Linked DNA regions of Oryctolagus cuniculus. The protein of the gene in region 2 binds, or shares a complex with, the protein of the main gene of each other region. Links are inferred from orthologs where the notes say so. Each region holds a gene or a part of one and is shown on either strand. Other genes may lie near its edges. The genes, in order: CASP9 and APAF1.

What was found.
Region 1: the proteins of APAF1 (region 2) and CASP9 are in contact, whole or in part, in a crystal structure (PDB 4RHW), measured with the Homo sapiens proteins. The link is inferred for Oryctolagus cuniculus from reciprocal best matches to the Homo sapiens genes APAF1 and CASP9. Residues at the interface, in NP_863651.1 of Homo sapiens: Thr22, Ser23, Tyr24, Met26, Asp27, Ile30, Ser31, Ile37, Glu40, Glu41, Arg44; in NP_001220.2 of Homo sapiens: Asp23, Trp26, Asp27, Leu30, Arg36, Pro37, His38, Glu41, Gln44, Arg45.

Annotation. Positions count from the first base shown.
Region 1 is NC_091438.1:154,083,023-154,086,826, reverse strand, and holds part of CASP9 (caspase-9), read right to left. Parts: intron 2,277-3,804; coding exon 1,916-2,276; intron 1-1,915. UniProt on the Homo sapiens protein: Involved in the activation cascade of caspases responsible for apoptosis execution. Binding of caspase-9 to Apaf-1 leads to activation of the protease which then cleaves and activates effector caspases caspase-3 (CASP3) or caspase-7 (CASP7).
Region 2 is NC_091442.1:101,568,644-101,573,217, reverse strand, and holds the start of APAF1 (apoptotic protease-activating factor 1), read right to left. Parts: upstream 2,846-4,574; 5' UTR 2,595-2,845; exon of another isoform or gene 2,173-2,594; intron 1-2,172. Other genes in the region: IKBIP (inhibitor of nuclear factor kappa-B kinase-interacting protein), read left to right, coding at 3,191-3,366. UniProt on the Homo sapiens protein: Oligomeric Apaf-1 mediates the cytochrome c-dependent autocatalytic activation of pro-caspase-9 (Apaf-3), leading to the activation of caspase-3 and apoptosis. This activation requires ATP. Isoform 6 is less effective in inducing apoptosis.

The DNA.
Region 1 (3,804 bases), on a different chromosome or scaffold from region 2:
CCTGCTAATATGCCTGGGAAAACAGAAGAGGATGGCCCAAGTATTTGGACCCTGCCATCCACATGGGAGGCCTTGAGAGAGAGCTGGGAGATTGATTAGATCATTTATGTAAGCGCTTTGAACATCCCTAACCCAAAAACCCAAAACTCACTGACGTGACACCGGAGCGGTAATTTCACACCTGACTTCCCGCAACGGATCACTATCAAAATGTAACCACACTAATGACACTGTATAAAATTATCTTCATGGGGCCAGTGCTGTGGCATAGTGAGCTAAGCCCCCGTCTGCAGTGCCGGCATCCCATATGGGCACCAGTTTATGTCCCGGTTATTCCTCTTCCGATCCAGCTCTCTGCTTATAGCCTGGTAAAGCAGTAGAAGAAGGCCCAAGTGCTTGGGCCCCTGCACCTGTGTTGGAGACCTGGAAGAAGCTCCTGGCTTCGGACTGGCCCAGTTCCAGCCATTGCAGCCACTTGGGGAACAAACCAGTGGATAGAAGACCTTTCTGTCTGTCTCTCCCCTTCGTTGTAACTCTGCCTCTAAAATAAATAAATAAAATTAAAAAAAAAATACCTTCAGACTATGTGGCATTTATGAAAATATGAATGAATTTCATGTTTATTTGGGCCCCATTCCCAAGACATCCCATTTTGTCTAAAAATAAAATAAAATGAGAAATTTGAAACAGTTCCAGTCCCAGCAGTTCAGACAAGGGCTGCTCAATCTGCAGTAGATACTCAGTACTGCTAACCACTACCCCTGCTAGTACCGCACGACGGCCCACTGGGCAACCAGGAAACGAGCAGCCCCAGATCTCCCCGCGCTGCCAAGGAAGCCAAGTGCTACTGACAACCACCCAGGTCCATCAGCAGAACAGTATCCAGAACAGGAACCCCACCACCACCTAGCAGTGAAAAAGAATGGACACCCACTATGCACAACAACGTGGACGCGTGCCCCAGAGCAAGGATGGGCGGAAGCAGCCAGACTCTGGAGTGCACATGGCAGCACTTCATTCCTTCGGAAGTTCAAGGAGACAGAGACGGGAACAGTGACTCCCTTGGGTGCGGGGAGTGGGAACAGACTAGGAGGAAGAGCTGTGGAGGACACTGGGATGACCCAGGTGTTGCTGACCTGGGAGTGCCCGTCGGTTAAAATCATCCAACTCTGCTCTCGGGACTCATGCATTTTGCCGGATGTGGCCTTGTGACCTTAAGTAACTGACTTCCGCCTCCTAAGCCCCGGTTTGCTGCCCGACAAGGGAGGCGGGCAGGGGGATGTACTCTGCAGGTGCACACAGGGAGCAGACTCTGAGCTGAGGCCTCCCTCCTGCCCCAGGCACGGGCTGTGGTGGAATGAGAAGGCCGTGTCAAGATGGTGCTGGCTAGCAAGTGTCAGTTACTCAGGAAATGGCTTCGGAACCCACCTGGCAATGGAGCCTGCCTGGCAATAGACAGTGATTGGTTAGGACATAAACCGCCCCTTGACCGGATTGGCTGCCTCAGCTGCATAAGCTGCTGCACCAACTGAAATAAATGAGTCTGCGGGTTGCTTGCCTCTGGCCCACTCCCGGGGTCTGTGTGGTGACTTCATGCCTCTTGTCCCCACCGCTTCACCTCTCAGAACGAATCCACAGCAACAACAGGCCACTCCAAGCTATCCAGAGGCCAATCCTGCACAACAGCTGGATCTAGAAACACTGGCAAAAACCTGGGACACCCAAAACAGACCTGGGCGCATGCTTTTCTGAGGAGGGGCTGCCAAAGTTACCGCTCCTGATGACTTACCAGAATGTTCCACCCATCTCCCACATAATGTTCCATAAGACAATAGCAAAATTAAATTCTGAACCCCAGCCCACCCAGCTGTACCAGCAGTCACACCCAACCAACAAACACTCCATCGATACTCACAGACATCACGGAATCCTCCAGAACTGGAGTCCACCGGCCTGAGAACCTCTGGCCTGAGCTTGGCTGGCCATAGCTCCTCAGGCCCCAGCACCACCGGGGAGAGGTTTCCCAGGGCCGCCTGCGAAGTCACCGCTGTCGGCTTCTCTGGTTGGAGGCCCACTGGTCCCAGCACAAAGGGTGTCAGCGGCAGAGGTCTGATGGCCTCGGGGTCCCGTTCCTGCCTACTGGCTCGCAGGAAAGAAGCCAGTGTGTGCTGGCCAGTGTCCTCCAGGCAGGAGATGAACAAAGGAAGGGCCTGCCTCCCTCGGGTCTCCAGATCTATGACCAGCTGCCTGGCCTGATCCCGGCGAGTCCCCGCGTGCTGTTTGGAAAGAAAGACAAGACGCAGTCACCCACTTAGTGCCACCTGCTTCTCTCCTTGTCGCCCCATTTCCCATCTGGGACACATGGGTAGAAACAGAGCCTAGGGTACCCTGAGCGAGGGACCCGCCCCAGCCTCTGCTCTGTTTCAGAGGCATCTACCGCGTGCCCAACACTGTGCTAAATGCTAAAGACGGCAGGGCAAGGTCTCAGTCCTGAAAAGCCAGTGTTTAGCGCGGGTGTAGACAAATCAGCAAGGACACAGCAAGGAGACAAGGGCCAGGAAGGAAAATGCTCAGTGCCAACGGACTTGGCCGGGGCAGTCAGGCAAGCCCCCACCACCGCCACCACCAAGGGGACCCCAAGGAACACCAGGAAGCAAATAATGACTCAAAGAAAGGGAGGCGGGCCGCGGAGAGGGAGAGGCCTTGGCGTGGCCATGCTAAGAAATGCATCCTCGGAGCTGTGAGGAGCTACGGCAAAGCAGTGGGTTTCAGAACTGTGAAAACTGCACAGTTTCCTCACCGTATGCATTTTCCATGACCTTTCTGAAGACCTCTCATGTGCTTGGATTTCAATTTTATTTTTTGCACCAAAATAAACGTATCTTTTAGTTCCACTTTCCATGAACTTTTAAGGTCCCCTCATATAAAGAGGTTGACTCGACATGACGTAGACACTGGGTGGACAGAAGAGGGGGCAGTGGTCAAGGCTGCCTGACAGTGTCAGGGGCAGGGCCACTAGGTCAGGCAGCAGGAGGAAGATGCTGATTTCTTGCTGCCTGTCCTTGGGGACCCAGCACTGGACAAGGGCCTCAGGATCCACAGAGACAAGACACCACCTTGTCCCCAAATATCCTACAGTAGTACTAACAGAACTGTCCATGATGGTGGTAATGGTTTGCATCTGTGCTATCCAACATGGCAGCCAGTAGTCACACATGGCCACTGAGCACTTGGGGAGTCTGAGTACTAACTGAATTTTTTATTTTTTTAATATTTATTATTTATTTGAAAGGCAGAGTTACAGAGAGGGAGTGAGAGAGGTCTTCCATCCACTGGTTCACTCTCCACATGGCTGCAATGGCCAGGGCTGAGCCAGACCAAACCCAGGAGCCAGAAGCTTCTTCTGGGTATCCCACGTAGGCCATCCTTTGCTGCTTTCCCAGGCGCATTAGCAGGGAGGTGGATCCAAAGTGGACCATGGGGCCAGTGCTATGGCACAATGGGTTAAAGCCCTAGCCTGCAGCACCGGCATCCCACATGGGTGCCAGTTCAAATCCCGGCTGCTGCTCCTCTTCTGATCCAGCTCTCTGCTATGGCCTGGGAAAGCAGTAGAAGATGATCCAAGTCCTTGGGCCCCTGCATCCACATGGGAGACCTGGAAGAAGCTCCCAGCTCCTGGCTTCAGATTAGCTCAGCTCTGACCATTGCAATCATTTGGGGAGTGAAACAAAGGGTGGAAGATCTCTCTCTCTGACTCTACATCTCTCTGCAACTCTGTCTTTCAAACAAACAAAATAAACCTTT
Region 2 (4,574 bases):
GCAGTAGAGGATGGCCCAAGTCCTTGGGCCCCTGCACCATGGGAGACCCAGACAAAGCTCCTGGCTCCTGACCGGATCGGCCCAGCTCCAGCCATTGTGGCCATTTGGGGAGTGAACCAGCAGATGAAGATTGCTCTCCGTCTCTCTCTCTGTAACTCTGCCTCTCAAATAAACAAATCTTTTTTAAAAAAGTATGCTACATAATGAAACATTAAATAAATAATATTTATAATATATAGCCATTTAAAATTATAAATGCGCTAAATATTTAAAATTATACATGCACTGAATATAAAGATGCTCATGACACATTGATTGAAAAATAAAAATATGATCCTATAAATAACAAGAAAATGTATTGGTACAGAAAAATATAGGAAGAAGCTTAGAATTTTATTCATCAAAATGTTTAGACTACTTCTGAGGAGCAAGATTTGGAGCCACACTCTTTTCTTCTCTCTACTGTCTTAATTTTTTCAATACACATTACCTTTTTTTTTAAAGATTTACTTTATTTTTTGAAAGTCACACAGAGTTACAGAGAGAGGTAGAGACACACAGAGAAAGAGAGATCTTCCATCTGCTGGTTCACTCCCCCAATGGTTGAGGACAACTGGGGCTGGCCAAGCCAGGAGCCAGGAGCCAGGAGCCAGGAGCCAGGATCCTCTTCCAGGTCTCCCCCGTGGGCACAGAGGCCCAAGCACTTGGGCCATCCTCCGCTGCTTTCCCAGGCACATTAGCAGGGAGTTGCATCGGAAGTGGAATGGCCAGGACTCAAATTGGCACCCACACAGGATGTGGGCACTGCAGGCCAGGTCTTTAACCTGCTGCGCTACAGCGCTTGCCCCCACATCACCATTTTTAACAATAAAAATATTCCTACTATAAATTAGCATTTTATAAAATAGAGGTGGGCATTTGGTAGAGCAGCTAAGAGGATACTTGGGAAGCCCACATCCCATAGCCGTGCCCAGGATTCAGTCCCAGCTCTGCTAGTGATTCAGCTTCCTGCTAATGTACACCCGGGAGGCAGCAGGTGAAGACTCAAGTACTTGGATTCCTCAAGAACTTTGGTCCTTGGAAAACCCTGACTGAGCTCCTGGCTTCGGCCTGGCACAGTCCCAACTGCTGCAGGCATTTGGGGAGTGAACCACAAGATGGCCTCTCTCTCTCTCTCTCTCTCTCTCTCTCTCTCTGCATTTACAAATAAAATAAACACATTCACATGGACCTTAAAAATTAATTTAAAAAATAGTGATCATATTGAAGTCCTAATGTTTCAAACTTCCTATTTTCTTTATCCAACATAAAACCAAACAGAGCATTGTTGGTACTGAATACCGATTCTTGAAGCAGATTTCTTGAATTAAGAAAGAACAATATTCTTTGCAGTAAATACTTTAAGTTTCTACCAATTTTATGTCAAGTAGAACATGAAGTTTTCCATGAGTATAAAACTCAATTCAGACTGTTTCTAGAAGAATTCACAACACAGAAGAAAAGAAAACGAGAGCAAATAATTAGAAAGTTTATGTCCTAAGTGCAAAACCGGAATTAAGCACAAGTAATTTAGAGCACACAGAAAAGGGGCAATAATCATCAAGCTTCAATGATGACCATAATCTTTAAAAGTCACCAACTGTAGCACTTGCAAAATTAAGGAAGTAGGGCATTTGTCTGTGTTGTCCAAGATCACAAAACGCCCAGGACCACCATGAAACTTAACTGACAGATACGATGAGAATCAAGGCCTTCATATCTTCAAACAACGTTTCTACTTTCTTAATTTAAACAAGAAAATTCCTCTATTCATTGCAATGGACTTGACAAAACAAAAACGAAATTTTTCACTTTAGTGTCTAGGCAAACAGTCGCTTGTTAGGCTTGCTGCGACTAATTCCCAATTCCACCTATCCATATTACACTTAAATTTTGTACACCGTACACTTGCCCCAAGTGAAATATTCTGTCCCACCCGTTACAATCACATCAAAATGGAAAGCCAAAACTTTTCACTGACATAAAATACAAAGTCGAGAGCAAATTCATCCAGGAACCCTGTAGCTTACTACTTCCTCATTAGATAATTTCTCTTCCTGCTAAGGAAGATAAAGGATTACTAAAGATCTCATTGTCCCCTAACCCTCAGACCCTGAAATCTGCTAAAATTACCTGGCTCAGAACATCGAGCAGGTCAACTTACGCAAACCTTTGATCAGAGATCTCATCGCGGGTGCGGCCAGTGGCAGTGGGGCTTCCCACCGGGAACGCAAGAAGCGGGGCACAAGCTGTCCACGTCCCCAACGCCCCAAGGAACATCAGCCGCGCAGGTGCCTCACCTGGGCCTTCGCAACCCCGAGCGCAGGAAAACCCGCGGGGCGGACCCCGCCCCGGGACACAAAGGGAGGAGGGCCAGCCGAGCTGCCGCTCTTTCCCTCGGGCGGCAGCTGCACCCGGGAGAGCCCGACACCACTCTGGACGCCACTACGGCTACTTCAAGCCCCACGCGGGTCGCCGACGGCCCGGCCTCCCCGCCTCCGGCTCCCTCAGCCCTTCTTTCTGCCCCAGGACACGCACTTCACACCAATCGTTACCTCCTCCTGCCTCAGGACCGACCAGCAGTCAAACACCCGCCGGGCCCGCCCCGCTGGATCAGCGCGCCCCCGCGCATGCAAATAAACACGCCGCTAGTCCCTCGAGGCGGCTGCCGCCGCGCGCGCCCCCGCCCGGCTTGTGCCCGGGCGCGTACGGGGAGGTGCACGCGCACGTAGGGAAGCGCGCCCCACACTCTACGTGGGGAGGCGTGACTAAGCCACAGGGGCGCGCCGCGTTGCTACCCAGAGCCGACCTAGACGGCGACGGCGGCCGTGCCGTTGACGTGGCGCGCGCGGCCCCGCCCGGCTCCACGCCCTCGGGTCCCTGCGCGCGCCCAGGAGCTGGGGTTCCTCTGGTCAGCCGCGGTGACGCCGAGGAAGGGGGAGGTGGGGCTCCGCCTCAGCAGAGGGAGCTGGGAGGCGGGAGTCTGGGAGACTGTGGAGCTGCAGGATGGCTGGGAGAGAAAAGGGACTGGATTCTGGGCGGCGCCAAGGCTGTGCGGGGGCGCGCTCACCGCCGGCGAGGCAAAGGCGGCCAAGTCCTGCTCCCCCCGGCTGAAGAAGCCGCCCCGGGTGTGTCCTCTGGGCCTCCAGACATGTCCGAGGTGAAGAACAGGAAGAAATCTGGGCCCAAGGGAGCCCTCGCGGACCCCGGCAAGCGGAGCGAGGGCGGCCAAAGCTCAGAGGCCCAGGGCGGCCGAGGCGGGGGCTGGGCAGACCCCCGGACGGGCCTGAGCCTCCTGTCGCTGGGGACGTGCCTGGGCCTGGCCTGGTAAGTGGACGCGGAGCCACCCGGGCCGTGTCCGGCCTCCTGTGGTCGCCCTGCTCATCGGAGTCCAGCCCCTGATCCTTCCACCAGACCGGGCATCCCCCTAACCTCCAGCCCCCATGCTGGCGGCTGCTGGTCCCCCAGCCGCGACCCCCGGGGCCGTGCCTCTGAGGTCTGCAGATTAAGGACAAACCTCGTTAGGCGCCTGATCTTTGACGTTGCTGTAAACCGTTACTCGTGGGCGCTGGGTGCCGGTCACATTTGCCCCATAGATGCCTAATGGGAACTTTGTAACCTTTAGATTTCATTATCTCAAAGCAGCAGTGTTAGCTGATTCCAGAGTTGGAAGGATTTCTCCTATTTCGATCAACGTGCATGCGTTGTGAATTTAAAGTCTTCCTAAATTACAGGTTAAACTTCTGTATGCATTGTAAAACTACAAAAACAGAGCGCTTGTGTTTACTTGAGACTAAATATATAGCCTTACACCCAACACAGTTGTTGTTAGGAAAAATTAACATTGGAAACAACCATGGGAAGCTATTTATTTTACTTAACCTATTTTCTTTAGGAATAATCTAACTCATTTTAATAGCAAGACTGACACGGTACGATTAATAGAGTTTACCTTTCTTCATCAATTTGTAAGATATTTAGGAACAGTTGTTACTCTTCCAGAGACCCTGAAGTTCCTCTAATCTAAAACATTTTTGATGCTAGCACATTTTGAATCATACTTTACTGGTGACTCATCCCAGGTCGTGTATTTCTTGAAGTTCATAAAAAATTTGTTAAAATAAAGTGAAATGTTGATTATTATACGTTCTTTTTCTTAAAAAAAAGTATGTTTTACTCAGGTGATACTTGTTTATGTAATTAGGTGTACTGGATTTACTGTTTAAATAAACTGCTCTTACACCTTCAAGTGCCTCACCTTCTTTAGATGAATTTTTTTTTTTTTTTTTTGACAGGCAGAGTGGACAGTGAGAGAGAGAGAGAGAGAGACAGAGAGAAAGGTCTTCCTTTGCCGTTGGTTCACCCTCCAATGGCCGCCGCAGCCAGCACGCTGCAGCCGGCGTACCGCGCTGATCCCATGGCAGGAGCCAGGTACTTATCCTGGTCTCCCATGGGGTGCAGGGCCCAAGCACTTGGGCCATCCTCCACTGCACTCCCTGGCCACAGCAGAATGCTGGCCTGGAAGAGAGGCAACC